Tamandua tetradactyla: one gene and its partners. The protein of the gene in region 1 interacts with the protein of each later gene in a pairwise test. Links are inferred from orthologs where the notes say so. Each region holds a gene or a part of one and is shown in the gene's direction. Other genes may lie near its edges. The genes, in order: MKRN3, TCHP and FAM110A.

Region 1 (10,857 bases):
CTGTGAGGCATATTTTTCCTTCCCCTTTTCTTGTTCACCATCAGTGGATCTAAGCATCCAGTTTTGGGTCCTCCTGGCTATCAGAAGTGAACCCCCAATGGCAAAGTCTGACACTGCTCAATCAGCAGGGCAAGCTTTCTGTTTATCCTCCCTAGGGGTCCTCCTCTGAAGCCTTGGATCCTGGATTAGCCCCCAAAGTTGTTAGAAAGAAAGTCATACCTGAAAGAGAATAAAGGCTTACAATTATGGAGAAGAAAAGAATTTATTAATGACCCTGCAAGAATGGGTACACAACCAAAATGTGGTGGCTGCCATGCCAAGTGACAGAAAACATTAGCATTTATCCCCTAAGCCTAACAAGCAGTTCTGTCCCCTGTATCTCCACTGATTGGATGCTCCAGAGGTTATAGCTTATCTGAGTAGTCTAACATTTAAATTTTCCATCAACAGATACCGCTTTTGATTATGTTTTACATCCCAGTGACCTTGGTTGTTATTTGTTTAGACTTGTTTTTATCTAATAAGGATTTGATGCCAATTTTAAGGCTTGTTAGTGGCTCTTTCCTTTCCCTGTCAGTGAAACAGACTTGAGTTGGTTTTCCTGCCTTTTGTTTAGTTAGTTTCCTTTTATCCACTCTGCATTATTTTGTGTGAAAGCTAAACCTAACTCTATTCTTACACTCTGACAACTATAAATTTGTAACTAAATAAATCTCCTTATTAAAAGCTGATCCATCTCTGGTGTGTTGCATTCTGGCAGCTTTAGCAAAATAAAGCACACACCTATTCATGCTGTCTATTAATACCAAGGCAGGGACTACCAGCCATTTCTTTGGCATTCAGACAAAAGGAACTGGGATTGTCTCTGGCCCTGTGGAGGACCCCTTTGACATCCAGTCATAGGAAATTTTCTTACAAGAAACCACCTCTGCCAGTGTACCTGGGAGGCCTTGCTCAACCTTCTAGGCAGGGCTCCTATTTGTTGCACGGGTGTATGCAGTGTGGAATTTTTAGCAGGACATGAGAGGGCTCACATCAGAGTCACAGAGCCTGGCTTATCAGGCCCCAGTGGTCACCCAGAAAATGTCCACATGGCCTCTACCCTGGACTTGTGACTTTTGAAACAATTCTTATTAAACCTCTGCCTCCAGTGGCGGCATCTTTTGCTCACACTTTCCCCATTACAGGCATTTATGCTTTAACACATCTAGAATAAGATCAAATCCTTGGCTCCCATGATGGGTCAGGTCAAATGGGGCTGCTGTGGAACAGACCATGCCAATCAAAGTGATACATATGGCAATATCTCCTGAAACAAGGTATTCTGGGCCTATAATCCAATATCTCCTCAAAGAGTGAGTCATTCGTGATGTCTACCATCTCCCCTCTAACTGCTCTACTCAGCCAGTTTTCTTCAAGCTTTCACCAACGAAGAGTGATTAATCCTCAGTTATAACAACCTTCATGTACAAGTCCTGCCCATCAGAGCCCCAATTCCTAACTTCATCTAATTAATAAAAGATATGCACAGGAGATGGGCAATTGACCTGCCAAGAATGACTTGCCCAATAGGATTTACTCAGTGTCAATATGTAAAAAAAAATTACTAACCACTGCTGCCAAAACCTTAACAAATTGTCTTTAAAAAATGGTCTAATACTGGCACTATATAACATACCTCTGATTAAGGGGTGACTCTAAAGCAACAATCCAAGAGGAGCTACTCACTCTCAACCATCATTTACAGAAACAAGACTGGGCAATAGCACCTTATTAAATACAAGAGCCATGAAATCTCTGTCAAAGCCCTAAACATAATCTGGTCCTCTAAGGGCAGACAGAGTCCCACCACAATGAAGCAGAGCCTACTTCAGATACTAAGACATGCACAACACCTCTTTGTGTTCTAGAGGTAACACATACTACATCTCCCACTCTCATTAAAGCCCATATATAAATCACACATACATCTGCTGGCTTCCTAGGGAAAGCCCCAAAAATGCATCATAGAATTTGCATAAGTCATTCCCAAACCCTTGTCCCATCAGGAACAGATTACAAATTAGAGGCCTTGGATACCTGTGAATATGCTCTTAGAGTCCCTAAACTGAGCATGGCAAGTCCTGGATGCTTATCGGGCTCTTTTTAAATGAAGGTGCTTCCAGGGCCCCAACTAGTCATCCTGTACATGCAGATTCACATAATGCTGAGTGAGAGAGAATCCCCAACAGGAGCTCAGCATGACCACTGAAGCCTCACTGGTAAGATGGAAATAGTACCTACAGGAGAGGGCTAAACCTGACAAACAGTGACTTTCCAAATTGCAGAAAATTGTTGCTTCCCCTATGTTCAGCCTGTTGCCTACAGACCTTAAGTTGCTGGCAGTAATACCCTCATTGCCCGCCCCATCCCCACCCCCAGTATGTTGAGAGACCCTGGGGACCAACTGTCTGACATGGAAAGACAGTAGGTATGTCTCACCAATGGCAATGCTATCATTGTACATAACACAGGTCACTGGCGTACCATGGCATGTCACCTGGCTTCAAACACCTACTTAACCAAGATGGCTGTTTAGTGCCTGCACAGTTGGCAGAGTTGGAAATGGCTCAGTAGTCCTCCAGGATCCTCTGAGCAGCCATTTGCCCAATCTCCAAATCTCCACTGATTCTTTGGAGGTGGCCAAAGGGCTGAAGGTGGGGTGAGTTAGGTCAATGGAAGCAAAATATTTTTTTTCTACAAGAAAAGCCCTTGTGGAGAGCTCCGTATTTGGAAACAGCTCATAGTCTCATTCATTTACAAACACAGTTGATTCACCACACCTGAGTACATTGCTAACAAATTACTTCAAAATAATTTCTATACAGCATATCTAGTGGGTCCCTTAGAGATTGCCCACTCAGGTTCCTCAAGCCTCAAGTCCTCAAGACTTCAGGACCTTCAAGTTCCTTCCTATCCATCCCTCCAGTCCACTTCTGAACCAGTGACCCATCTCTAGGGTTACTTGTTACTGCCTCAACTGTGTAAACCACCTCTCCCCTTCTCATGATGCTCTCTGGTGACCTGGGTGCTGAGCCCAGTCTGCTCAGGTGCAGCTTTGCTGTCTTTCATTCCATTTCATAACCCAGCTGTTGACCAGCCAGAAGATGCTGGTGCTGCTGTGCAGGGTATTAGGTATACAAGAAAGTTTCAGTTAAATCCTAGCTCATGAAGTTCTAAGGCATCTTATTGGGAAAGGAGGTCTCAGCTGAGCCAAAAAACTAGTGCAAATATCAGATATGTATTCTTAGAGACGGTGTGAAAACAAATCACATGCATAAAAAAATTTAGGACAGGGATCTGGACTAAGGCAATAAGAGAAGATCCTCTGAGGAGTGAGGTTTGGCCAGGCTAGGAAATATTTGCTTATTTCTCCCAAGATGAACTATCCAATATTTCATATTTGATCTCATGTGGTATTTAAAACATAGGAATTAATTTTAATTTCTAATTTTATGAGATATTATCACTATAAAACTACAGGATACAGTCCACTGTGAGATAAAAGGACATGAATACAATTAGGAGCTATATGGGAGGGATTTGAAAGCAAATGCTGCCTCTCCCCAGCTGCAGAGCATTAGGCAGATTAGGTAAATATTCTACTTTTCAGTTTCTTTGTCCTTGAAACTACATGGTCAAATAATTTCTAGAACCACATTAAAAATAAAGTGAAAATTAATTTCCTCTATCATCCTAGCATTATTTCAATTAAGTGCTCAGTGGCTTCCTGAAACAAGTGACTACATAATTGGCAGCATGTATATCAAGCGTTTTCATCACCACAGAGCATTCTACTTGAGAGTGCTGGTCTGTAAAAAGAGGATAACAAAATCTGGACACAATGCTGGAACAAAATACTATGAAACAAGTTGTAGTTCCAAGTTCAGGATTCTTGCTTTTGTGAAACTGAGCTTGCTATATATATCAGTGCTCTGAGTCTTTTTCATGTGAAAATAATTGAAGCTGTCGAAGGAATATTCACTAACCGTGAAAGACAAAGTCTACCGCAGAGAGTGCGAGTAAGACAGACTTCAGAAGAGATGCATATGAAATACAAAACTCAGTAACATGAAAAGGAAAACAAAATACAAAATCACCAGGAGTACAAAGGTTCTCGGTGGGATAAAAAGCAGCAGTATTCTCATAAGATTATCAAATTAAGATTAATTTATCTTTTTAAAATATTGTGGTTATGTAGTATTCTTCAATATATTTATGTCTTCCTAAATAAAAACATTTTAATTATATTATATAAATTTAAAACCCAGGATATTTATCTTTTTATGTTATATAGGCTCATGAAATTGTTAATATTTTGATGATATATAAATACAACTGATTTTCGCATACTGTGCGTCTATCCAGGGCCTTGCTAAATGTACTTTTTAGTTTTAATAGTTTATCTGCAAATTATCCTCAAGTTTCTACTGTCTTTCATCAATAATTCCTTTACAATTTTAACAAACTTTATTCATTTTTTTACTTGCCTTATTTCAGTGGCTAGGATTTGCAATAGCAAAAATGAGCCTTTATGCTTTTTAAATTTCTGAGGTTACGCTTTAAAAAATTTCCTTAAGGGAATGATTTTAAATTACGGATTAAATTCACTTAATTGAACAATATTCATATTTCTTATTTCTGCTCATGCTACTTTTATTAATAGATGTTTTCTAGGCTATGATGACTTCACAAGCATTTTCCAGTCTAATGGCCTAATCTTTTTCCTGATATCACCTTATGATTTTAAATGTATGCCCACCATGTAGTGATACCACGTTTTAAATTTCTTGCTTTGGTTATTTAAACCTTCTTAATTTTTTCTTGCTATGATTCACCAGAAATCTATCAGTTTTATTAATCCTTTCAAAAATTTTTGCTTGATTCATTTTCCTTATTTCAATTTTTCCTTTTATTAATTTATTTTTCTTATTATTTATTTCAATGTTTTCTTTGCTTCCTTTTATTTAATCAGGATTTAATTTGTTGTACTGAATGTTTATATCAGAAATACTCACACTCTCTTCCAACTTACAATACAAATTCAGGTTAAAATTTCCCTCTAAGAAATATGTTTTACAAACAAAATCCAATAATACATAAAAGCATGATACATCATAACACATAACGGTTTCATTGGAAAAACAGTAAGTGAAATTTTTGAAAATCTATCATTTTAAATAATCACATTAACAGAGTAAAAGCAAAAAAAAATATGATCATCTCTCAGTAAACATAAAAATTATTTGACAAAATTCAGCATACATTCACGGTAAATACCTTTAGCAAACTAAGAACATAAAAGAATTTAATTAAGCTACTAAAATGCATCTGCAATACAACAAAGAGCTCACACATGAGGAAACTCAAAAGCACCACTTGTGGGTTGTGTGATAAAGAATATGCTCTGAAAGGCTGAGCTGCCACAATACAGCCCAAACTCCCTGAATCAGATGATTGGGAAGAAAGAAGGAAGGAGACAAAGGCTCTCCATGAGTTAAACCAGCAAAAGAAAGTAAAAGCAAGGGTCAGTCATGGCACTGTGCCTTACTAAATCAGCGTCTGGAATGGAAAGTCTGGGGCTTCTGCACAGCCGGGAAATGAAAATTTGAAACCACAATAAATTAAGACATCTGAACGGTGCTAAAGTTGCCTCAGATCACAAATGTTCCCTGATACCAACTCACTGATGAAAAATGTCTCTAACTTTAATCCATTTGAGCCTGCAAACAATAAGAGCCAAATGAAAAAACGTTTTCAGTACAACACAGAAAACAATAGCTTAGAAGACTAGAAATCCACAGACCTGAAGGAAACATATGCAGATCCCACAGACATATGATAAAGCAGTGAACAGAAACAGAATTTTCAAAAATCACTTATGAATTTTTACACGTAAGGAGATAAGGGCTTATGGTTAAAAAGACAGACTGGTATGAAGAAACAGAAGCTAATATAACTTGAATGGATGAATGAGATGAGATTTAATAAAACCCCAAAAGGTTTTGATTATAAATTCCAGATCAGACCCTGTGAGAAGGGAATTGGAATTGCAGGAGCGCCGCAGAGACAAAGAAATGGTGAGCGGAGCAGAAGCAGCAGCCGTGAGAACGGGCAAAAGGGTCGCATGACGTGAACAAAGGAAAAGTCCAGTCAGAGTGCTTGTGGGTGGACACGAGGTAGAGGACGAACACTGCCCCCACAGGAAGTGGCCGACAGGCTTGCCAGGAAGGAACGCACAGCCACAGGGACCAGGAAAAGGGCGGACGGAAGTGAGAAGTGCACTTCCGGAAAAGAATCCCGCCCCCAGCTCTCCCGGGCCTCAAGCCCGAATGGAAGACATGCTGGAGGATACGCAGGGCAGTTCCGGCACCATTTCGGGTAGAAGAAGCTGCCATGGAAGAGCCTGCAGCTCCCTCTGAAGCCTCCGAGGCAGCAGGGGCCCCTACGGGTGCCGAGGGAGCAGAGGGGGGTGCCCCCGGGCCCGGCCTCCCGGTCCCCGAGGCCCGCCGGCAGCCGGCAGGTTCAGGCCCAGCCCCCTTCCGTGCGTCAGTGCGGGGGCCTGCTCGGGCTTCAGGGGGAGGGGCCAGGCCCCGCTGCCTGCAGGGACGAAGCCCCGGCAGCTGGACGAGGCAAGTCGTGTGCAGGTATTATCTGCATGGGCTGTGCAAGGAGGGGGAGAACTGTCGTTACTCTCATGACCTTTCAGGCAGGCAGCCAGCCAGTGAAAGCCGTAGTTCGCAGCCCCAGGCCTCTGCAGACGAAGGCCCCAGTACGGCTGCGCACATTAAGCCCCTGACTCAGGAAGTGGCGAAAGCCCCCCTTGCTGCGTCTTCACGCTCCTCGCCTCCGATTGGCTCGGCTGCTGAAAGGGGTTTCTTTGAAGCTGAGACTGACAATGCAGGCTCTGAAGCTGCCGGAGCAGGTGCAGAATCCTGGGGAGATGCTATTGAGTTCATTCCCGGGCAGCCCTACAGGGGCCGTAGGGCTCTTTCTGCTCCTCAGCATCCTGTTCGGAGCTCGGTGACTAGGAAGGAGCATATGGCAGTCAGCATGAGGGAGCAGCTTTGTCCCTATGCTGCCGCAGGACGATGCTTTCGTGGGGAGAATTGTGCTTACCTCCATGGAGAGGCATGCGATATGTGTGGGCTGCACATCCTGCACCCTTTGGATGCTGACCAGAGAGCCGAGCACATAAAAGCCTGCATTGAAGCTCATGAGAAGGACATGGAACTCTCGTTTGCTGTGCAACGCAGTATGGACAAGGTGTGTGGAATCTGCATGGAGGTTGTCTATGAGAAAGCCAACCCAAGCGATTGCCGCTTTGGCATCCTCTCTAATTGCAACCATACCTACTGTCTTAAGTGTATCCGCGTGTGGAGGAGGGCCAAACACTTTGAGTACAGGATTATCAAGTCATGCCCACAATGCAGGGTCACCTCCAACTTTGTCATTCCCAGTGAGTTCTGGGTGGAGGAGGAAGAAGAGAAGCAGAAATTAATTCAGCAGTACAAGGAAGCAATGAGCAACAAAGCCTGCAGGTATTTTGATGAAGGCAGGGGTTGCTGCCCCTTTGGAGAAAATTGTTTTTACAAGCATGCATACCCCGAGGGTGCGGGTGTGGAGCCTCAGAGGCAGGGTGCAGAAGAACCACAGGGGCAGGCTGCAGAGGAGCCCCAGGGGCAGGCTGCAGAGGAGCCCCAGGGGCAGGCTGCAGAGGAGGCCCAGGGGCAGGCTGCAGAGGAGGCCCAGGGGCAGGCTGCAGAGGAGCCCCAGGGCCAGGCTCCAGAGGAGCCTGCAGGGCAGGGTGGTGGGGCATATAGTACTTACTGGAATCAACTTGTGGAGCCTGTGAGAGAGGGCAGCATATGCTTTAGGAAGATTAGAAAGGAGCTTATCACACTTAAGCTGGCCAATTTGCTGTTTAAGCATTTTCTTTCACTGGGGGGTGACACATGCTTCTTCTCCATGGAACTGTGGGACTTACTTCAGTATGAGTTGGAAGAATATTTTAATTTGAATCTGTAGCATTGTGTTGTGGCTTGTGGTCTTAGCTGCTGAGGCTTTGCCATCTGATATTGCCTGTGTTCCTTTATAGACATGTGTAACACTTGCAGTGGCTGTGGAAGCAATTTTTGTAGTGTCACTGTTTTCTTGCACAATTCCAATTCATTTTCTGTCAGGATTATGGTGTTTTTCTGTGTTAAAAAGTAGCAGAAAAATCATTGAATTTATTGTTTGGTGAAATGAATGTCACCCTTAGCTTATGGTTATTTTATCACCTTTGGTTTCAACATGGCTCACTCAGTTCCAGATTAATGTATAGAAAATTTCCACACTCCAAAAATTTTGAAGTCCCTCAAAGAAGAAATGTGACAGTGTGAAGGGAGCAATCTTAACTGACCAAGGAGCTTTTTTGCTACTACAGCCTTAAGAATGGACCCTTATGGGTCTTGTGGTGCAGCTGCACGTCTTTCTTTGTTTACATGCAAATCCCTTCCCTCATCCTTTGTGAATTGAACTTGTTATCTTGTGGATCTCGTGGTTATTTACGATTTAGTGTTTTACTTGATGAGAACCAGGTGCATATGTTTACATGTTTTTATCCTGTTTGGCTTGACATAAAAATTATTTATATTTGGAAGTATATATTTAAGAATTTATATGTATGCATATATGTGCATATAAGTGAATGTACGTGAGAAATATATATTTAAAGAATATGTATATGAACATATATATGTTTATGTAATAAAATAAATGCAGTTCTGGAAGCCAAAAGTCAAAGGCTGACAGTATTGGCTGGTGTGTGTGTGTGTGTGTAAGATGCGTAAATAATCTTTCTGTCCTTGCACAGCCTTCAGTGATTAGAATTTAATTAAAACAACTGTTCAAATGGTTTTGACCAAGTGTGGCAGACACAGACCCTAATGAACATAAAATATGCGGGTCATTCATTTGATTTCACTAATAGCTCACTTTGCTATCCTAAATGCAAAAATTCATGTTCCTATGTGGTTTAGCACTGTCTCATTATCTTTTTAATAGCACAACTCTATGCTCAGATACACTGTTTTTTGTTTTGTAATCAATATTTTGTTATCTCTAGCCTTTCAAGACTAGGGGCTTTTGGAAAAGTTTTCAGCATAAAAGTAACAGAATTATAAAAATAAAAGAATAATAAAAATACTGAAATCACTCAGAATAAAAGATTGGAAAGACAAAAAATAAAGTATAGATAGGACCAAAAACTAAATACTATAGTACTATGGCAAATTTATGACACAAATACACTATAATTATATGCAGTGAAGACAGATAATTAGATTTTATGGAAATTGAAATTTTAATTTCAGGGTGGGCCACAATGGCTCAGCAGGCAGTGTTCTCACCTACCATGTCCAGAGACCCGGGTTCGTTTCCCGGTGCCATGCAATAAAAGAATAAATTTAAATGTGCTTTTGAAAATAAACACCTAAAACATCAGACTGCAGAAACCCTGAAAGTGATAGGAAATACATGGCCAGAAATGGAGAGAAATATTATATAAATATTTAATTTACAATTTACCAGGAAGATTTAAGTATGTTTGTTTCATATACATTTTATGACATAGCCTAAGATCTGCAAATAATTAATAAAAATAGAAACATCCAAAATCTTAGTGGACAATTTTCATAAATCTTTTTTTCAGTATTTTTTGAACAAGCAAAGTAAGAAGGTAAGTAAGTAAGCATTTAAAAGATTTGAACAACCCAATTTTAGCAGTTTACTTAATTGACCTGTATAGAATGCTGTATGTTGTCTGTACAGGTAACAGAGGTAACTAAAAATAATCTTGGGAGATTCAAGCTGGAATGACTATCCAACAAAGGCAGGGCTCATTTAAAGTTTACACCATGTGTTAGGCATTCTTTAATGCACTAAATTCTCAAACAACTTTAAATATTACCTACTATAATTTTTCATATTATCCTGAAAAGGTAAATGAGGTAGTTAAAGTACTTGCCCAAGAATTGACCCAGGGTGTAAATTAGTGGAACAAAGAACGGAGCTCAGGTTAGTCTGACTACAGAACACTTTCATGTACCATGCTGCCTCTATATGACTGGGCAAGTGGACCTGCTGAAGAGGGCTGCTAAAAACTAGGGGTATAGACTTTAAATGAAGGTAGATCAGCCAGCTAGGTTGGAACTTGGCATAAATAAGCTTCTGGGAGAAAAGCATGAAAGCCTTAGGGCTTTTATGTATAGGTTGCTAGATGATTTCTCAGTCCAATTTTCAGAATGTGCCTCAGGTCCAATATTTTTATGCTGCCTGTCCCCTTACTATGTTTCCGGGTTCTCTGGGTAAATACTTCAGACTGTTTCACTGGGGGCTTTGCCACATCCCTTCCCTCCCGCCATTTATCCAGAGTTCTCCAGCCAAAAAAAAAAAAGCCCCTAGTGCTCTGATATTATTGATATAAAAATTGAGAGATTCCAAATGAAATAAAATCATGTTTCCACTCCTGAAAGGACCTGGTCATTCAAGGAAATGAAGGCTTAGACTCCTCCCTAAAAAAATTCCAAAGTTCAGTACCAGATGGAAAACTCTCATCAAGGCTGTGCCAACATCAAAAGTTCAGAATTAAACTGCATATTGACTATGTTGTCAGGGAAGACCTCCAGAGAGGGGCGGGGTGAGGGGGTGCGGCAGATGTTAAAGCTGAGCCAAGAAAACTTTGAAAAGTCTCTGCTAACCTCAATATGATGAAGTCCCATGTTATTAGTTATATGATATATTGAACCATATAATCATAATAAAATTCAGGAGATA
Region 2 (10,763 bases), on another chromosome or scaffold:
GCAGCATAGAAGTCTGGGAACACCGCAGGCACTTGCTCAAGAGGGATTGCCCCTAATTATAAGGAACCAGCTCCGGTACATTGCCAGGTTCTCTGCAGACCTTTGGCAGGGGTGTGGCCCTCGGAAAGGATGGGCGGACTTTAACCTCTAGCTCATTCCCTCATTCCTCCAGCTGCTGCACGTGACAACTGTTAGAGTAGTGCCCATTGGTCATAGTTTCATTCATTCATTCACTAAATATTTATTAAGCACCTACTGTAGGCCATTTACACAGTGGAAGAGACAGAAAGGTCCCTGCTCTAATGGGATTTCCAGTAGAGTATGTGTATGTGTGGCATTAATATTTAAAAATATATATTTAAGGCTGCTATGAATGCTCTGGGGGGGAAATACATGTGTGTCTTGAGGCTGCATGATCCGACCTAGTTGAAGGGATCAGAGAGGGGTTCCTAGAGGAAGGGGCATTTAACCTGAGACCTAGAGGTTGAGTAGGAGTTCGCAGAGGGGAATAACCTTCCAAGAAGAGGGAACAGTATAGTGGAAACTTTGGAGGTCGGGGTTAAAAAGAAGGCCAGCGGGGCTGGTTAGACCATGCAGGGGCCTATGAGCTTGCTCACAGCGTGGTTTTTTGTGCTTGGGGAAATGGGAGCCATAGAAGGGTGCTGAGCAGAGTGACAGGAGCTGCTGCAGCATTGCCCATCAGTAGTCTGAGACTTAGTATCTTAGGAAGCGAAGGCTCCCTGCTCATCAGGAATGGACCAGGGGGTGCCATGTCCATTGAAGCCATAGAAAAATAGGGTTGGCTTGCTGCCCTGTCTTGGTGGCATGTACCCATATCTGACAGCCCAACGGAATGGAGCTGCTTGGACTTTGGGATCCTGACTCACTAAACAGGCCATGGAGAGTCCTCTGTCCCCAAACCTCAATCCCATTTGCAAAGTGGGATTACGATAACCCATACCTCCTAGAGAAGCTGGAGGCCAAAGGGAGGTCTCACAGGCACAGATCAATACATGCTAAGCAATTACTGGCCGACTCTCTTCTTTGCAGCTTTGGTAAGTGGTTCAAGAATTACACTCTGAACACATGGTGCTTGGGGAAAGTCTATTCATGGGGAGGCTTGCTGGTGACTGAAAAACCTTCAGCAATAAGATCCTTTAGTTTGTCTCCTAAAAAGAGACCCCAAGCCAGGGGGGAATGGAGGTGTCCATCACCACCAGGGACCAGATTCTTCCCCCTTCCTGATCTGCTAAGGCCACGCAGCTCCTCCCAGTGTGGCTGCAGAGGTGCCGCGGGCTCCTGCAGATGCGACAACGCCCGGCAACTCCCTGCCCCTAGAAGTCATCTTCTTAGGGGAAAATGAGGCAGAAGTCCACCGTCTGCCCAGTCACCAACAAGGAGCGTGGGTCCAACCACAATTGGCTTAGACTAATCCGGATTCACCCCCAAACCATGTAGAGAGGGGTAGATACCCCATCCCAATGGTTGTTCAGCTTGAGCAAGGACATTGGGGGAACAGCTATTTGGTCACTGATGAGGGATGAGTGAATAAGTTAACATTTCCCAGCTCTTTCCTCTAGCACAGAAGGAAATAAACCCAGCCCTACTGAAGCAGGTGCCTACGTAGGAAATGATCAGTATGAAGGCAATTATAATACCAGTGAGTGTCATCCCTCAAGTTCTAATAAGGGGCCGAGCACTGCGTTAAGGCAGCTGTTAATAATAGTCACAAACCAGTACGAGTATCCCCATTTTTAACAGTTGAGAAAACTGAAGCTCAGAGATACGAAATAATTGTAGCTGGTCAGAGGCTTCATCCTTCACACCATGCTCTCCTTGAAAGATAATATAAATAGTGCTTTAGTTTGCTTTGGCTGCTCCAGCAAATACCATGCAATGGGGCGGCTTCAACAAAGGGGATTGAACGGCTCATGGTTTTGAGGTTAAGAGAAAGTCCAAACCAAGACATCATCAAGGCGATGCTTTCCTCCTGAAGACGGTGGCAACCTGGGTCTGGCTGCTGGTGATCCTTGGACCTGGGCTTCTCTGTCACTTGGCACATGGCGGCCTCTCCTGACCACTCCCTCCTCTTCTGGGTTCTGTGGACCTTCGGCTTCTTGCTTCCCACAGCTCTCTGTCTTTCTGAGTTTCGTTCTGCTCATACAGGATCCTGGTAATAGCACTCTCCTGGTGCGCGCCTTCCATGCGGGAACCCGAGTTCGATTCCCAGATCATGAACCCACCCCCTCCCACCAAAAACAGAAGACCCAGCCTGACTGAGTGGGGCCACACCCGAACTGAAGTAACCTCATCCAAAGGTCCTACTGACAATGGACTCACACCCACAGCGATGGATTAAACTTAAGAACATGCTTTTCTGGGGTCTATGGATACAAACCACCACAAATACCAAAAAGAAAAAGAAAAAGAAAGGTCAGTGCTGTTCCATCAGAGAAATATATTCCACCAGATGGAAGCAGACTGAGCTACTTGAGGGTTCTGAATAGAAGGTTCTGGAGCAGAAATCCATTTTCCAGCCTCCTCTGCACACAGGAGAAAAAGGCCTGTTAGAACAAGCTCTGATGAGCTCTCCCGATTTACAGAATGGAATCTGATGGGAGGTTGCATACCTGCAGGGCACCAGGGGCAGGCAAATTTCCTCAGGGGGACGCCCTCCACTGTGCTGCTTCTTATTAAAACACCAATACGGGCTGGTGTGATGGAGGCTCAGTGGCAGAGCTCTCGCCTGCCATGCTGGAGACCCGGGTGCCTGCCCATACAAAAAAACCAACCAAACAAACAAACAAAACTAATATGTGCTCATTTCAGAAAACACGTAAGTCAAAAGAAGAATCACAAATTAACCCGTAATTCAATACCTGCCAATGTAATAAGGCAAGAAAAATAAGTAAAAGCCATCCTCATTGGAAAGGAAGAAATAAAAGTGCCTCTTTTTCAGGCCACATAATTATTTATATGGAAAATACCAACGAATTGGAAGCAAAACTTCTAGAACTAATGAGTGTGTTTAGCAAGGTCTCAGAATAGAAGCTCTCTATAAAAAAATCAATTGTCTTTCTATATAATTGCAATGAACACTTGGAGTTTCTCCCTAAGCACTGGAAGTATTAGGCTGGGGAGGGGGTTGAGGTTTTGTTTTTTTTGGGGGGGGTAGTGCATGGTTCAGAATCAAACCTGGGTCTCCTGCATGGTAGGTTAGCATTCTACCACTGAGGGGGTGAGTTTTTTTTTTCTTTAGGTGACATAATCCTTTCTTACCACTTCCTTTATTGTCATGAAAATTTTGAAAAAAACCTTTCAATTAAAAAAATCAGCATCGTCCCATATTCAGAGATTTCTACCTAAGACACCCCTAAAACATGTCCTTGAAATCATCAAGATTTCTTTTGTAAATATTTTAATAACATCTCACAATTTCATGTATGACATATTATCATATCTTTACAACAGAATGAGGCAGATTACTAGGGCATTTTACAGGAGAAAAAAAAAACAGTAATTTTTACTTTATTTTAGAAGCTATTACTTCCTTCAATGTGAATCTGTCCTGGCACATAGTGGGTGATCAGTAAATATTTGTTGGATGAATGCCATTTAAGATATGATTGGATTTATGAGTTTGCAATTTTGCGCAGTTTTTCAAAATATTTGATTCTCTTTTGGCTCCCTCCAGTGCAGTCTTTTTGAGTAAAAGGATGGAAATCTATTTGCAGTGATTTATACAAGTAGATGTTTATTTGGAAAAAGTGAGTTAGAATTGGCCCCTTGAGCTGTTATCCACCCCTAAAATTATATAAATTATATATGTGATATATAAAATTATGTGATATCTTAACAAATTAATTGACTACATATTTCACTTTAAGCATAAAAAAATAATATTACAATGAAAAACTTATTTTAGGAGTTTTTTTTGGGAAAAAAGCCTTTAAGTCATTAAATTAAAACTTTAAACCAGGACAATAATAACATCATGGCTTTAGAATAAAATCTGGCATGTGAAATCTCTGTAGCAGGATCAGCCACACTCTTTAGTATTTGCTGAATGATACAAGCAATTATGAAAGGGAAAATAAAGCCATTAGTAATTGTATTGCTGCTGAGATTAATAATACTACCTTTTACAATAGCTAAAATATTACAACAAAAATACACATGAGAGCGCTCTAATCAGTCAAACGGAGAGGCATAAACATTTCTTACTAGGAATCAGACTTTCAAAATTTAAGTAAAAAACAGTACTATGGTTTTATAGATAGAAAAATTAAGGCCCAAAGAAACTGTGATTTATATGCTCCATTTGTAGATTAAGTAAATTGGGTATCAACATTTTTAAAAAGTTTGTACAGCAGTGAGGGGGGTGAGTTTTGACAGAGGCATGAGACCAGACCCTGGAATCAGACTGACCTGGGTTCAAATCCTGACTTAGCAGTCTATACGGCCAAGTGAGAACCCCCACTGGGAACAGAGGCTGAAAGCAATGGAGCCCAGGAGCAGGGACAACAGATGCCAGCCACATGACTTCCCAGCTAACAGAGGGGTTCCGGAAGGTAACACCCTATCTTTAGTGAATGTAACCTCTTATTGGTGGCTTTGTACATTTTCTCAGTCTTAGAACTGTAAACTTGTAACTTATTAAATTCCCTTTTTCTTTTTTCTTTTTGCATGGGCACGCACCAGAAATTGAACCTGGGTCTCTGGCATAGCAAGCGAGAATTCTGCCACTGAGCCACCATCGCACCACCCTAAATTCCCTTTTTAAAAGCCATTCAGGGCAGGCCATGGTGGCTCAGTGGCAGAGTTCTCACCTGCCATGCTGGAGACCCAGGTTTGATTCCTGGTGCCTGCCCATGCAGAAGGGAAAGAAAAAGAAAAAGCTGTTCAATTTCTGGTATGTTGCATTCAGGCAGTTTAACAAACTAATACAGGCCCCACTGTGTTGTGACTGAGCTGATCACAGCAGGTGGTTGCCTCTGTCCACTGGTGACATAATATGGTAGAGTGATCCTGAACTTGGCCAAGTGGGTACAGACCAATGCAGAGGCCAACCTTGGGGGAATCTTGTGCATGGGGCAGGGTACACAGCAAGTAAATGTCTGTGGGGTAGAGGAAATGTGAAAGAAATCCCCCCCAAGCCCCCCTGCCATGCCCCAAGCACTCTGTTCTGTTCATACCTTTACTGACTCCCCCAAGGACAACGCTAGAAGGTAGAACTCTCAACGATGAGGAAGATGAGGCACAGAGAGAGGAAGCAACCTGCCTGGACCCCCCAGCCAGCATGGTGTGCGTTGGCATTCTGACTGCAGAGACCATGCTCTTAAAACAGCGTCCAGGAAAGACAGAAATGAATAGAGGAATGGAAGAATGAAAGAAGGAAGTGAGGAAAAGAATGGAAAAATGAAAGAAAAGATGGAACAAATGCAAGAGTGGATATTTACTTTATTATCTTTTTAATGGAATGTTCGATGCATAAAAACTTGTAACTCATGTAATGAATGAACACTGAGAACCAACCACCAGTCTAAGACTACAATAGAAAATTATCAATAATTTGCATCTACTTAACGTTAGTGGTTCTCACCTTGGATGCATATTGAAGGCAACTGGGGAGCTTTGAAAAACAGGCTATCCAGGCCCCACCCTCAGAGAGTCAGATGTAATTTGTCTGGGGACTGGGATTTGAAGCGCTGCACAGCTGATTCTCATGTACTGCCCGGTTGGAGGAGCACTGGCTTATATTATCCTCCCCTATCCTAGCCCCCTGATTTCCTGCCACCCCAGGTAACCACTATCCTGAATTTTGTATGCTGAGTGGATTATTTTCCTCGCCCTTCCCTACTTCAAGAACCGACGAAGTTTGCTATTGATCTCCCTCCTACCACGAGGGGGCGCTAGAAAAAAGTACAGTCTCCTTTTTCTCCTTAGAGCGTTCAGTATTGCGCTGGAGGAAACTTGGTCCTCGCGGCGCGCCGTCTCCCGGCCCGTTGCCGGGACAACCAGCGGGGAAACGGTCGGCTTCAGTGCTAAGAGTTTCCGCCCGGCCTCTGGCATCTGCTCAGCCTGATCTGGCCTTGCGGGATCTAGCGGGCCTGGGGCTCCTCGGAAACTCCCAGGCGCGGAGAAACGTGAGTCTGGAGGCTGAGTTCTTTCGGGAGCCGGCGTTGGGGCTGGTACTCAGAGGCTCTGGCCGCGGTCGGCCGGGCGCTGGCGGAAAAGGGAGCGAGGACCCAGGGATACCGCCGCAGGGAGCCTGGAAACCTGGGCTCCGGTCCTCACTGTGGTACTAACGAGACATGGGGTCGAGGCCTCCCGGCCGTTTGCTCGATGTGGATGTTGAGGCTCAGAGAGGGAAACGGCTTTCTCGGGGAGCTGGATCTTAAATTTAGTGCAAAGATTTATCCACTGGCTTTTTTAAAAGGCAAGGGGAAAAAAGCATGTCAGGCCAGCCAAAGTCTCAAAACAGAGGTCGCAGGCCTGTAGGCCGAATTGGACGCATAGATGTAGATTATTTGTCTGCAGCTTCTGAAGGACTTTGAGTTTGAGACTCTTGGCGCGGTGCCAGACCCATGTGCTTATTCAAGAGACCTTCCTCAAGCACTACCATAGCCAGGGACTGTGTAGATTTTGTACCTGAGGACAGCTGTGGGCTGGGGGAAGGTTGTCCTGGCTACAGTGAGACTGCTTGCTTTTTTAGTCTAGCTGTGTCCCCAGATTGCCCCGCAACCCCTGACAAGTCACTTCCTCTCTCTCAGAGGAAGTTTCTTCAACTGTAAGATAAGGGATCTGCCCTCCGTGGGGGCCCAGAAGACTTCTAGGTGTGACTCCTTGCCTGGCCTCTCGCCTGCGGCTGCTAGAACCAGGGCATATTTGTCCCAACAGGGAGCCTTTTGCAGTAGACAGACCCGGGGCTCTGGACTCAGACCTATCTGAATTAGAATCCCAGGTCTTTTATTTCCTCTCCTTTCTGGCTGTGTGAGCCTTGGCAAGGTGCTTCACCTCTTTGAACTTGTTTCCTCATCTGCCAAATAATGGGGTGGTGGTAAGAATGAGAAGGGTTATACATGTGACAGATGCTGGGTACATACAAATGTTCCTTAAATTACTGTCCCTGTTAGTTTATGAAGAGTACAGAAGTCCCCAATATGCCAAATCTAGCATTGCTGGGACTGGTCCCCTGTCTCTGTCCTCAGTGCCTCTGATAACACCTGGCCCACATCTGGGTACATCCTGGTTTTATTAAATCAGTGATTTGCAGCCCGGGTGGCAGATCATTTTTAAAATGCCAATGCCTAGGCCCCATTCTAAGATTTTCTGAGAAGGTGAGGCCTAGGTATGGGTATTTTTAAAGACTCCACGGAGTAATTCCAATATACAGACAGGGGTGAAGACCACTGAGTAAAAGGATGCCAGCCTTGTACAGGTTCCTGGGGTTTGCAGTTGGAGCATATTCTTACCGTTGCTGTTCTCAGATGGCACTGCCCACGCTGCCCTCCTACTGGTGCAGCCGGAGGCTTCTGGATCAGCAGTTAGCACGCCAGCGAGAGCAGGAGGCCCGGCTTCGGCAGCAGTGGGATCAGAATAGTCGCTACTTCAGGATGTCTGACATCTGCAGCTCTAAACAGGCAGAATGGAGCTCTAAGTCCTCTTACCAGCGGAGGTAATTGCGCGGTGACTGCCAGCTGGGTGGAAGTGGGGGGCCACTCTGGCTGGTCATAGGACGTGGTGGAAGGACATGTGGCTTGACTACATATTTTCTTGAGGGGTTTGCTGAACAGCATAGATTACCTGCATAGTGGTGATTTTTTTTTTCCAACTGGAAATTAAAGAAAAAATCATATGTAAAGTTACACATTAAAAAAAAGATAAAACAATATAGAAGTATATGAAGTGGCGCCTAGAAGTCTCTTTGTAATACCGCCTCCCCAGAGAGAACAGTTGGGTACATATCCTCCCATACTTTTTCCCATTTGTGTTTGTGTATAAATAGACCCCCCACACACACACATCCATCCATTGTTATAGAAATACATGTTAGTCCAAAGCATAGGCTTTGGATTCAGACAGATCTGTATAGAAATCCTGACTGTGTCACTTACTATATGAATAAGGCTCAGTTTCCCAAGCAGTAAAGTAGGCTAAAATGGAACCTTCTTTAGGATTTATGCTATGATTAATATAAAACTATCCATATAAAGATACATGTATAGCTTAGTCCTTGGCTTGTGGTAATTGCTCAAAAAATATTACCTATACGTTATCACATGCATAACAGTATTTGTTTATGGATACAAAATTCTGTTTTGCATCCTGTCCTATAATCTGCTCTCTCCACTTTGGTTGGGTGGCACCTATCTGTGTCACCACGGTATGTCCACCTTTGGTCTTTCGCAGAGCCTCTGCTGTAGTCTGAGTGGTTTATTGTGGGATCCTTCTCACCCAGCATGCATGCTTATCAGCGGGAGAAGTTGAAGGAGGAGAAAAGGAGGAGTCTGGAGGCCAGACGTGAGAGGCTCAGGCAGCTTCTGCTTGAGGAGCAGAACCTGCTGGCCAAAGAACTGGAGGACCTGAGCACAGACCTACGGGAAAGAAGAATCCGGGAGCGGCATGGGAATCTGAAATCAGCCCGAGAAGAGCAAAGGAAACTGGTAACGTCCCATAGACCTTCAGAAGGTTCAAGAGCAGGAGCATCCCCGGCCTGTCAGTGTTGTATACGTGGGATCACCCCTGGGCACTCTGATCTGATGGTGGTCGATGCCAGAGACAGCTGGGAAAAGTGCTAACTCTAAGTCTTTGTTCAGGTAGTGTGTTTTGCACACACAAGTCATTACATCCGAGTCCTTTTACTTTATTCCAGTTCTGTGGTTCCACAAAGGTCTGAGCATGGTATATTTTATCTTCCAAAGTAGTCGTTTGGAACAGTGAGCTCCAACGTGTGTTTTTAAGCCTGCTATACCTTTTGAAATCTCCTAGATACAACCTGTGTGTGGCATCAGATTTTTGCCCCCTCCGTTGCCATCATGAGAGTCGTTTCTTCTTTCGGTGCTCTTGTTTCTGCTCTGGCAGTCTAGATCCCATAGCTGGGGCTGCAAGGCAGGCAGCAAGTGAAGGTTGGGTACAATGAGGTTGTAGTGTGGAGGCGCCGTTAGCCTGGCTGTCTGAGCTGACTCCCATTGCGGGTTGTCTGAAGAGTGAGTAGATTTGGAAAATGACATCAGGCCTCCTTTGTATTTTCTTGACAGATTGCTGAGCAGCTTCTGTATGACCACTGGAAAAAGAACAACCCCAAACTTCGAGAGGTAAAAACTAAGGAGATCCTTCACTGATTTGCCTAAGTAGATGAACTCATGTTTGCAGCCTTTTTAAAAACTTGCATCTTTTGCTGGGTTGAGGCAAAGGAGGGAACTGCTTAACTATGAGACGAGCCTGTGCAGAACAGCTGGAGTGGACTGGAGCAACAGTTCATTCACTTGTTTAACAAACATTTACTAAGCATCCACTGCCCGGTCCACCACATGGGACGTGCAGATTAGATGTGGTACCTGTGTTTGCAGTCCTGAAGGGAGACTGTGGGCAGTGGAGAGACAGTGGTCAGATGGTTACAGTGCAGGGTCCTGGCTAAGATGGCATCATTCAGCCAAGAGGGAATATAAGGAAATTGGGCTAGAAGGAAAGAACTCCGTCACTCATAGCATTGATTTATTTCAGTCCACTTTTCAAACTTTATATAGTTTGGTATCATTAATTTATGCACTTGCAGTAACATTTAGAAATTGCCAGTCACTGAATAATAGAATAGCTAGGTGCTTTTGAGTATTATTATTATACAGATGGCTCTAAAATGGGCATTTGTTGACTTAGGTGGCCCTCCAAAACTGTTTACTCACAGACAGGTTTATTCAAAACATTCAAGTTAGAAATTGAGAAAGAAACTTTTAAAACCCATATAAACAATTTCCCCAAAAAAAGCTTTTTGATAGAGTATTTCCATTCTATTTCTGAACCCAAAGATTCTCTGAACTTAAACCTCTTATTATTAACCCTGTAGTGCATTGTTTGATACAGGGAAGCACATGTTTTTACAGCTATTGCTTTGCAAAGGGAATTTTGGGGACTTGGGCAGGGGTTGAGTCTGCTTCTCCCCCAGGTGACTTCAGGTGCCCTGTGGCCCGCATGGTCTTAGACCAACCACAGTGGCCTTCTGAAATTGTATTTCCTTTTCAGTGTCTGCTGACTGTCTCTGTCCAACCCAAAGGGGACTGGGAGGACAGAGTCTGTTACTTTGTTCCAGCTCTGGAGAATGGTTCAGAAGCACCTGATCATTTGGTTTTCCAACTTACTTGCATTCAGACCATGCTGTGCTTTGCTCACTGTTCTGAAGTGGGTACCTGGGCCACTTTGAGTTCTTTCAAAGAAATGTCATAGTCATGTACCAGCTGTGGCCCAGAAGATAGTACATCAGCCCCATGATGAATATCAGATGCACCCGTGAGGAAAATAATATTCTCCCCCTTCTCGTCCTCAGATTGAATTGGACCTTCACAAGAAGCATGTTATAAGCTCTTGGGAAATGCAGAAAGAAGAAAAAAAACAGGTGTGGTATATGGTTCTCAAAATAGTCCTATGTGCTACAATATGAGAGGCTCCATCTCTTTTGTTTCCTGTTTTCAGTATTAATAACTCTACGCAAAGAATAGAGGGTTTCTAAGTTTACTTAACACATGTTAGTGTTTGCTCTGGCACAT
Region 3 (10,780 bases), on another chromosome or scaffold:
TGGAGCCAGCATTTGAACACAGGTCTTCAGGGCTCTCAACCCCTCCACCAGGTCAGCCCTTGAAAGCTGCTTGGAAGGAGAGGACTGGGGAAGATGAGGGATGTATGGGAGGCAATCAGCAGGCCCTTTCCCAGCCCACTGGGCAAATGTTTATTGAGCACGTGCTGTGTACACTGCTCTGGGTTGGGCGCTGGGGCATAGGAGATGGAGCTGGCCAATTCCTCTTCCTTCAATACGCTCACATCGGGGTGCATGCAACCCAAGCCCCAGAGACTGTGGGAGCAAGGAAAAGGGGCCCCTAACCAAGCCAGGGAGGAGGGCAGGACAGGTTTCCCGGGAAGCTGTGGAGTGAGCCAGGTGAAGACAGCATGGGGACAGCATTCTGGGCTGCAGGCACTGCGGGGAGCACAGGGGTGCAGGCGAGTGGGGCTCCAGGCAGCTGGATGTGGCTGAGGTTGGCTGCTAGGCACAGGGAGTGGGAGAGCAGAGGCCGGGATGGGCCGGGTCCTCCCCAGCCTGCTTCCTCTGAGTTCCCCAGAGATGCCTAGGCTGCTTGCTTCTTCCTAAGATCTCTGGGAGAAGTGGGACCCCTAATCTTGAGTGTTGGGAGCTACACATTTGGCCTTGTAGTTGCTCTGACCCTGCCTGATGTGGAATCAAATCCTTTCTAAGGGCAGAAATCCAGAGCCCTGCTTGGGTTGTGGGTCTGGCGAGTCTCCATTGTTATTACCTCCATTGCACAGCTGGAGAAATTGAGCCTAAGAGGGAGGAGGGTCCTACCTGGTGGCTGAGTGGCCCACAGTTGGCTGGGCCAGCAGGTGTGTCCTGGAGCTGGAATGCTGTGCAGGCCCCGATTCTTTTGCATGTGCCACCTGGTTCTCTGGAGGCATCGCTGGTGGCTGGAGAGGCATGGACTGCAGGGACCTGGAGGCAGAGGATGGTCTCTGTGTCTCACCCAGGGGAAGTATCTGTGCTTTAAAGGGGGTGCTGGTAGGGGTGGTGCACCGGTGGCTCAGTGGCAGAATTTTTGCCTGCTGTGCTGGAGACCCAGGTTCGATTCCTGGAGCCTACCTATGGCAAAAAGTAAAAAGGGAGAGGGGGATGCTGGTAGAGGAGCACGTGTCCCCCGTCACATTCCAGAGACACGCTCTCGAGACAGTGTTTCACTATTTCTGTGGACTGTTTAGGAAGGGATTCAGGGTTAAATATGTTTGGGAAACAGTGGAGTAAGCAAAGAGAAAGAGGCGTTTCTGCTCCAGTGGTCCTCAGAGCCTTTGATATGATGATATGAATTGCAAATCTCTAATTGTGGGACAAGTGGGAAAGAGTGGGGTGGGCTCTGTCCCCGGGGGGGTCACAGTTGGTACAGGAGACGGACAACACACAGCCAGCTGAACACACCAGCTGTCGGCAGGTTGGGGCTCTATGAAAAGACACCATGTGAGCCGTGGGGGAGGCTCCAGGGGGGATGGTGTTTGAGCAAAGACTGGAAGGAGGTGATTCTGGGGTGGGGGTGGGGGGAGCGGGAAGGGAAGCAGCCTAGAAGAGGGAGCAGCAAGTGCAAAGGCCCTGAGGCTGGAGCAAGAGGGGCTAAAGGCGAGGGTAGTAGGAGAAGCAATTGCCAGCGGGCAGCTCTGAGAGCCGGGGCAGTCAGTGCGGGTTGGGGAGGCCTTGGAGAGTTTGGGGCATGGGAGTGACTCCTGGAGACATGTTGCCCCATGAGCTTTAATGATCTGAATCCCTGGGCGTGGGGCTGCGGCATCAGGGCTCCCCTGTGCAGCCCTGGCCAAGGCCCACCCAGAGAGCTCCCCTTGGCTTTCAGCTCCGGCTCGGCAGCTGACCCTGGCCAACCTGAGTTGACTCACTGCACATGTAGCGTCCGTCTCCCCAGGTAGAATGTCAGTTCCCTGGCAGCACTGCTGTACCTCCAGCACCTGAAACCAGGCCGGTCATGTAGCAGGTGCTCAATAAATATATTTGTGGAGAGAATAAATGGAGAGATATGCTATTAAAACCTCTTTCCATATTACTTATATTACTCAGTATTCTTCAAAAACCTTATTTTAATGGCTGTATAATATTCCATCCCAGTTCCATTCACCATGCTCATTGCCCTGTTGCCAGGAAATTAGGTTGTTCCCCCCTTTTTAATTTTATATACTTTTAATTAATAACAATGTTGTGGTGAACACTCTTGTTTTAAATCTTTCTGCATCTCCATCATTTACTTGGGGTCAGTTTGTACAAGTGATGCAAGTACAGGCCCGTTCGGACGGCATTTAACACTCATCCGAACGGGCATCCCCGTTTGCCTTCTTGCCCATGGTGTTTGGAGGTACTTGGCTGTATTTTCCTTTAGTTCGCTGTGCTCTCTTGTTCACTCATAGACTATCCTTACACATGTTATGTATTAAAAAAAGTCACGGGGGTGAAATTCACAAAACATGGAACCAACCATCTTAAAGTGAACAATTCAGCGGCGTTTAGTACATGCACAATGTTGTACAACCACCACCTCTATCGAGCTCCAAAACATCTTCATCACCCCAAAAGGAAACTCAACCCCATTATGCAGTTACCTCCATTTCCCTCTCTCCCCCAGACCCTGGCAACCGCCAATCTGCTTGAGCTGCTTTCTGTCTCCATGGATTTATCTATTCTGGATATTTCATATAAACAGAACCATACACTATTTGGCCTCTTGTACCTCGCTTCTCTCACTTAACACGTTTTTATGATTCATTCATATTGTAGCAGCTCTCAGAACTTCACTCTTTATATGGCTGGATAATATTCCACCATATAGAGACACACTTCGTTTATCCATTCAATATTCGTATTGTGTCCACCTTGTGGCCACTGTAAATAATGCTGCGGGGAACACTGATATACAAATATTTGTTTGAGTATCTCTTTTTCATGCTTTTGGGTATATATACAAGGAGTGGAATTGCTGGGTAATATGGTGTCTCTATGTTTAACTTTTTGAGGAACCACCAAACTGCTTTCCACACATATGTTTTTTTTTAATAGATAATATATTTACAAGATACAAAATCCAAAGGCATAAACACTATTTTCTAAAAAGCTTTCCTCCCTCCCCTGTGTCCCAGCCACCCCAGTAACCTCCACTTCCAGAGAAGTTAGATGCAAGCAAATTTGTATGGCAATAACACCCTTTAGATTAAAAGAAACAAAATAAAACACAGCCATGGGCACCCAGGAGACACAGAGCTGACATCTGAGGCTAATGGAGACACAGAGCTGACATCTGAGGCTAATGGAGACACAGAGCTGACATCTGAGGCTGATGGAGACACAGAGCTGACATCTGAGGCTGATATCATCTGGATTTTGAGCTGAGTGGAGAAAAATCTACCAAGCTCAGGGCTCTGGAGGAGACGAAGCCCACAGTGAACGAGCCACGGGCCTGTCAACAGGGCAAGAGGTTATTGCTGTTCAATCGTGCTGGGCCAGGGTGAGGCCATCAGGGCTGCCCAGCTCCGGGCGCAGCTCATGACAGCTTGTCCACCTTCTTATTCTTATACCCCCACCTTGGGGGTGGACAAGGCCTGGGACACTGTCAATCGCTCCAAATTGGCACTGGGTGCTTAACAGGTCCTTGATGATCGGGGACATTGCCAATATGCTGCTGGCAGATGCAGATGTCCAAAGTTCTCAAATCTGACTGCACCCATATCATCTCTCTTCAGTGGCATAATCTGGGGTCCCGGGGAAGTTTGTTGTACTCTTGTTTGCCTCACTTCTTCATTTGGGAATGAGCTTTTGAGTTTTTGTTTAGTTTTGTTTATTTTAAGCCCGAGGGTTTGCAGGACAAAGGGAAACATTGAAGATGTCAGCAGGGCCTTTCATCAAGGCATCTCAATGATCTCCCAACCCCTGATTAAAAGTGTACATCTCAGAGAAGAATCTGACCAGGACACCATGGCTGTCATTCCCATTTTAATGATGGGGACGCTGAGCTCTGGGAGGCACCCTAGCAATGTGTTCACAAGGTCATATGCTTTTGCAAAATTTGCCAAGGTAAGATATTTTAGCTGCACTCTGCTCAAACCACCATCTCTTTGTACTCCAACTTCTCTTTGCCGTAGGTAATGTTGGGGGTAGGTTGGATGACATTGGGGATGTGGCTAAGGGGACTTTGAGTTGAGGACACATTTGCTTGGGTTTAGTAGATATATTTATGCTGTTTCCAGTCACTTTTGTGAATAAATTATTACTAACTGACCTGATATAAGAATGGCTTTCAGGAATATCCCTACCCTACCACAGACACTATGCTTGCTCAACTGGTGTTGCGACATGAAGGTACAAAGTCAGAGGTCATATTGACAAGAATGGGCTTACAGTACCCGACATTAGAAGTATATGGGGAATAGAGGAGAGGTTTGAAATGTACACATGGAGCCAGAAGCTAATATGTGGGAAGAATTTTAGAGGTATGTCAAAGAGGTAATTAATTAATAACAATAATGCCATTTTTTTCTGGGTTTTTTTTGTGTGGAATTTGTCAACTTTTAATACTTTGTTATTTGTTGTGTTTTTTATCTTATTCACTTTTGTGCTTAATTTTATATTTGAAGTTGTGTGCTCTTTTTTTTAAAGACGTCCACTTCAAGTGTATAAGCGTATTGGTTTGTTAATGCTGCTGGAAATGCAATATACCAGAAAGGGAACTGCTTTTAAAAAGGGAATTTATTAAGTCACAAGCTTATAGTTCTAAGGCCATAACAAATGTCCAAACTGAAGTAACCAGAGAAAGATACCTTGACTCAACAGAGGATCTATGAGGTTTGGGGTTTTTCTGCCAGCTGGGAAGGCACATGGAGAAGTCTGCTGGCTTTCTCTCCTGGCTTCTCATTTGGAAAGCTTTCCCTGGGGTTATTTTCCTTTTGCATCTCCAAAGGTCCCTCCTCTGTGTCAGTTCTGAAGTTTTTTCCAAAATGGCTCCCTCTTAAAGGACTCCAGTAAGCAATTGAACAGGTGGAGACATAGCTCCATGGAAACCACCCAATCAAACGAGTCCTAGCCACAATTGGATAGGTCACATCTCCATGGAAACAACTTAATCAAAAAGATCTCACCCAGCAATACTGAGTCAGGACTAAAGAACACGGCTTTTCTGGGGTACACAATAGTTTCAAACCGGCACAGTAAGTATAAGCTGTGGAAAGCCCAGATCTGCCCCTGGTCAGATTTCACTTTTGTTTTACAGGATCACAGAACCCTCTTTGCCTTCTCTCAACACTGCTATTGAAGCTAATGCCAAATAGTTATGCACATTTACAGGGGAACAAAAGAATGGTTCAGAGCTCTGGTTCTGGATCAGGCAAGTCTTAGTTTATTCATCAAAAAAAAAAAAAAAAAGGAAATAATAGGATGTTTCTACTCAGATTGTATTGAAGTCAGATGAGATAACCTGTGTAAAGCCTCGAGCATAATCTAGCAAAGAGCATAGTTAGTGCCAGGTTTCATGTTATCTGGTGCTCACAGGTAGAGCCAGACTCCCTGTTTATGATGCTATCTGTGCTGATTTGGTTGGTGCTTGTGCCAGGGTACACAAATCATTTTTAGCTACTGACATATTGTCAAGTGCCCATCCATTCAGTGGCTGCCCAGGTTATGGACACAGTTAAGTGCTGCATCATTGGCTGAGCAATGAATAAATGAAAGATACCAATTAGAACGAAACAGAAGCTGGCTCCAAATTGAGCAAAATCCTATACCCAGTGAATCACTGTTACAAAATTTCCTCATTTTGAAGGGCCCTTGGAATTAATTTATTCTAACCCCTTTAAAATGTCTTTTTTTTTTTTGACAAATTCAATTGTTGGAAATATGGAAGATCCATAAAAGCACAGAGAAAAAATTAATCGCTGTAATTATAAATAATTATACATATGCACCTGGGCTGCTTCGTTATGCATTTACCATATATTTATATGCAGTAAAAGTTGCTTTGAAAACATGCTTTCTCCCCCCATTTAATACACCCTTAGCATCTCCCCCTTATCTTTAAATATCTTTTAACTACATCATTTTTTTTTCCTTGCATGGGCAGGCACCGGAAATCGAACCCGGGTCTCTGGCATGGCAGGCAAGAATTCTGCTACTGAGCCACCGTCACACCGTCCTTAAAGTATTTTGAAATGATTGCATAATATACCTCATCAGAAAATGGGTGTAGTTAAATGCTCACCTATCTTACGTGGATTATAGTGAGCACGGACAGTTATGTCATATAAAGCTGCCTGGCATGTAAAAAGTTCAATAGTTATCTCTTATTGTTATTATTCCATTTGAAGACCTTATATAACAAATCCTCTTTCACTGGGTATTTGTTTCCATTACTTTGCTATGGTGAATAACACGGGGCTGTATCACTCCTTGGTCACGTCTTCGATCATTTCCTTAGGATAAATTTGGGGGCTGCAGGATATACACATTTAAAAAACTAACCCATTCATTGTGTAGTCGGGGCAATAGAGAGGGGAAGGGGCTTGCCCAAGCTATTTAGCTACTTAGCTGCAAAGCTGGCATCAGAAACCAGTCCAGAGCCGCTCACTGGTGCTTCTTCCAGCTGGGGACCCGGAGGAAATCCCCATTTGGGAGAGGCAGAGGGAGAACGAAAGGAAAGAACCAGGCTCCCTGACTAAAGCAGCCACCGGAAAAAACGAGCGGCGGGCGGGGAGAGAAGCGTCAGGCGTGCGGAGCTGCGGGGCGTCAATCTTTAGACCGACGCTAAGCTGTCGCCTGGCAACCTGCGCGGCGCGGCGTTCGAACGGAAGTGAGGAACCAATCAGGATGTCCGGGGCGAACCATTCCGGCGGGTGGGGGAGGGTGGACAGCGGTGCTCTCACTTCCCCTTCCTCCGCGCCCCAGGGAACCTTCGCTTCGGTGGGGGCCTTTGGAAGATCAGAATCCTTCGCCCTTCTCAGGTGCGGAGAGCAGCTCTGTAGAGGCCCCTGCGGGTCCCCACGAGGGGCTGGATCTTCCCGGCCCGCGGTGGGAGCGGCCACTACCAACCCGGGTCCGAGCTGTCAGCCTTCCCAAGACCCGCGCTGGAGGAGCCCGGACTCACCTGACGCGGGTTCCAGGTGAGGGCGCGGGAGGTCCGGGGCGCGAGCGTGGGGCTCGGGTGCGAGGGGGCGACACTGTTCACCGATCGCCTGTTGTGTGCGTCCTCACCGTGTCGTACCTGCGGGGAGGCGTGGTACCGATTTCACAAATAAGGACCCGGCGGCTCAAAGAGGCCAGTGGCCTGGTCGGGCGATGTCTTGCAGTGAATTCAATTCAGGTCTTCCTGCTCCACCTCGCAGCCCCTAATATAGACCCAGGGTTCTAATTCCAGCCGCTGCTCAGGGGTAGGGGAGGGAGGGGGGAGCAAGCGGGACTGGCATTTCCGGGCCATATGTTGGGTGAGCCGCAGATGCTCTGGCCCCCGGAATCGTTACTGGCCTCTTGTGACTCTGTCCCAGGTTGGGGGCAGGGGAAGTCAGTATAGACGGTTAGACCACACCCCCATGTGGAGTTGGGAGCAGGCCCTACTTTCCAGGGACCCCTATATGCCTCAGGTTGCTATCGTTGGTCTCCTTTTGCAGATGGAAAGACGGAGGTTCTGAGAAGTTAAGGGCCTTGCTGCAAAGTCCCACAGTGAGATTTGGCAAATCTGGAGTGGGCTCCCAGTGCATCAGGCTTCAATCTTAGAATACTAGACATTCAGAATCATAGGATCTGACAGTCTTGGATCCCTTCACAGGGGAGGAGCAGGAACAGTGCTATGCCAAGCCACACTGAAGTCCAAAGTAAAAGGAGAAATCAGAAATAGTGATCCTATCCTGTCTTTATGGTCACACACTTACTGCATAAAATCACACATGTAAATGTCAAATTTCAGTGCTGCAGTGGGAAGGGGGTGAGGGCTCTGAGAGTGCTTACAGTGCCCCTGAGCTAATCTGGGGAGGGCTCTGGGAAAGGGCCATTTGGACTCTGAGAGCTGAAGGTTGGGGAAGCTCCAATTGGGTGGGAACATTCCTGGCAGAAGGAGCATCAGGAGTAAAGGTGTGGGGGTGGGTCAAGCCTGGGGTGGGATGGGGCTGTGGCTGGGGAGAAGCAGAGTATGTCACCAGGGCAGGCCAGAGTCTCCATCCCTGGCATTTGGGCCATATGAGGCCAAGGGATTGGAGGAGACACAGACACACCAGGAGGTAGAGATCTGAGTTCCCGTGTGCTTCTGCTGCTGATTTGCTGTGTGACTTCAGGCACATCTGTGGCCCTCTCTGGGTCTCAGTTTCCCCATCTGTACAGTGGGGAGAGTATCAACACCTGAATTCTTCCGGGCTTTAGGGGTGGGCCCTAAAAAAATGTTTCTAGGATGGAGGTGCTGGGCGAGAAAACCCCTGAGCCAGGCTGGGTGCCTCTGGGCTGGACCTCAGTCCTTCATCTGGAAAATGGTATGAAAAGGTGGCAGTGGTTTAATACGAAGGGCAGCTGGCATCTCTGTTGATGACAATGGGTAGCAGCTACTCTGTGCTTGACAACAGGCTGTCCATGTTACTCTCACTGCCTTGTGATACCCCTGCCTCCTCCATTTCATCCCCTCCCATCTGCAGCATCCTTAGAAAGTGAAAAGTCAGCCAGCTGGGACGTTATTCCAGGAGTGTAATGACCTTCACAACAACTGAAGCTAACATTTATTGAAGACTGTCTGTGTGTTATGCTGTTGGGAGGTCAACTCACATGGCCTCCACCAAGCACAGTCCCGCCGTCTCTGACATGGTTACAAGTGCGTGCTCCTCACCCAGCTGTCTCCCCACTAGGCATTTCTTCCAGGCAAAAAATGATGTCGCTGCAGTGATGCTGCGGTGTGGTTTGTAGTGGGCAGAGACTGGACGCTCACTAAGCGCCCATCAGTAGGAGTAGGAAATAATACCGTGCAGCTGTGAACAGGGCCAAGGACGTTCTTTCTGTGCTGTTGTGGCACCCAGAACAATACATATTATTGAGTAAAAAGAGCAAGGGTGGAAACAGCACACACAGCATGTTGCCATTTGTGTAAAAAAAAGAGAAAGAATATGCATCCTGGGAGGACATAGCTATCTGGTCATAGTGTGCCTGTAGGGAGGGGACAGGGAGGGACTTTGGTTACTCATTTAAAATTTTGAGCCATGTGAATCTATTACCCAACACTATGAATTTATATATTTGATCATGAAAACCACTGCCTTACCCATGATCTGTCACTGACTTGCTCCGTGACTGTAGGTCAGAAGTTTCTTCTGACCTCTAGGCTGACGTACAGAGTCATGAAGGTGAGCCCTGAGGCTCAGTCCCCACTGAAAGCCCCTTGTCCCCGTTCTCAGAGGTGCAAACTGAGGCCTAGAGGGGCCATGTGGTACAGGTGGGCAGCAGGTGAGTCAAGCACCTCTCCTATGGCCTGCTCACCTCTCCCTTCCTGAGGAGAAGGGCCGGATCCTGGGCAGGCCCAGGCGTGAGTGTCCGGAGAGACTCCACAAATAGCACAGCACTGGCTTGGCCCTGGAGGGTGCCAGGCTGCATGTCTCTGACCTGAACAGCTGGGCTGAAATGGAGCTGAGGCTGCCCCACCGGCCGGGGCCCCCTCCCTGCTGCCTGGAGCCTTCATGATCCCCTCTGGGGCAGGTGGGGCCTCCCCGACTCCCGTCAAGTCCCAACTGAGCTACCACTGGAGGGAAAGAGAGAAGCAGATGGAAGGAAGAGGGGAGTGTGCGGAATGCCACGGTACTGTAAACATCAGAAAACACAGCTCCCACCCCCTTAACAAGGGATCAAAATCAGTAATTCCTCTTGAGCACTCACGATGTGCTTTACATGTATGAACCCATTTAATTCCCTCAACTCTGTGATGTAAGGGAGTTACTGCACTTCTCACTTCCATTTCATAGAAGGAAACTGAGCCCAGGGGAGCTCAGTAATCTGCCCAAGGTCACACAGAGCTTAGATTTGAATCCAGGCAGCCTGGCAGAGTGCTCTCGACTCTGCACTCTTAACTGTTACTCATGCTACTTTCAGATTTGTCACTCTGATGAAGGCCTCGCCCAGTGTCTGGGCAGTGGAGGATCTGGTTGGTTGAATATTCATCACAGCTCACACTTGATGGCATTTGTCATGCACAGGCCTCACACGGGGAGGGAGGCACTGTTAGGAGTCCTGTTTTATAGTTGGGGAAACTGAGGCAGGCAGAAGTTGAAGATCTTGCCCAATGTCTCATAGCTAATCACTAGTGAAGCCAGGATTTGAACCCAGGCCACCCGGTTCCAGAGTCCAGACTCACATCCCCTATAGAGTTGACCAGAGAGATGGAGTGAAAAAGGCAGGGACCCAGCATGTGCAAAGTTTTGGATGTGGCATATGTGCAGAAAGAACAGGGCTCAGCTGTAGGTGGCCAGAGCCCAGCTTGAAGGAGGGTGACTTGAGACTGGAGGAGGAAAGAGACAGTTGGGGAAGCTTCAGGCAGGGGGCAGACCTTGGCACTGAGGGGCACTGACCTTTGAGGTGGCCTGGGTTCCAGTCCAACCACTTGGTAAATGTTATTTCCTTTTATGCTTGGTCCCTGGAGGAAGAGTACAGTAAGGTTTGGTGGAGCTTCCAGCCCTGTGGAGGTGACAAGAAGCAAATAGATAAATAAGTGAATATCCAAAATGACGGATGTGATGAATGCATAGAAGGGAACAAAAGGGACTGAAAAAGAATTGGTGGGAGCCTCTCAGGATGGTCTGGG

The links.
Region 2: the proteins of MKRN3 (region 1) and TCHP interact in binary tests that used the Homo sapiens proteins (3 or more experiments, as listed by UniProt). The two-hybrid records come from large-scale screens. The link is inferred for Tamandua tetradactyla from reciprocal best matches to the Homo sapiens genes MKRN3 and TCHP.
Region 3: the proteins of MKRN3 (region 1) and FAM110A interact in binary tests that used the Homo sapiens proteins (3 or more experiments, as listed by UniProt). The two-hybrid records come from large-scale screens. The link is inferred for Tamandua tetradactyla from reciprocal best matches to the Homo sapiens genes MKRN3 and FAM110A.

Annotation. Positions count from the first base shown.
Region 1 is NC_135338.1:79,484,146-79,495,002, reverse strand, and holds MKRN3 (E3 ubiquitin-protein ligase makorin-3), read left to right. Parts: upstream 1-6,247; 5' UTR 6,248-6,435; coding exon 6,436-8,067; 3' UTR 8,068-8,781; downstream 8,782-10,857. UniProt on the Homo sapiens protein: E3 ubiquitin ligase catalyzing the covalent attachment of ubiquitin moieties onto substrate proteins.
Region 2 is NC_135331.1:21,551,778-21,562,540, reverse strand, and holds the start of TCHP (trichoplein keratin filament-binding protein), read left to right. Parts: upstream 1-5,973; 5' UTR 5,974-6,146; intron 6,147-7,490; coding exon 7,491-7,678; intron 7,679-8,412; exon of another isoform or gene 8,413-8,461; coding exon 8,462-8,666; intron 8,667-9,260; coding exon 9,261-9,317; intron 9,318-10,543; coding exon 10,544-10,612; intron 10,613-10,763. UniProt on the Homo sapiens protein: Tumor suppressor which has the ability to inhibit cell growth and be pro-apoptotic during cell stress. Inhibits cell growth in bladder and prostate cancer cells by a down-regulation of HSPB1 by inhibiting its phosphorylation.
Region 3 is NC_135327.1:22,720,215-22,730,994, forward strand, and holds the start of FAM110A (protein FAM110A), read left to right. Parts: upstream 1-6,859; 5' UTR 6,860-7,118; intron 7,119-10,780.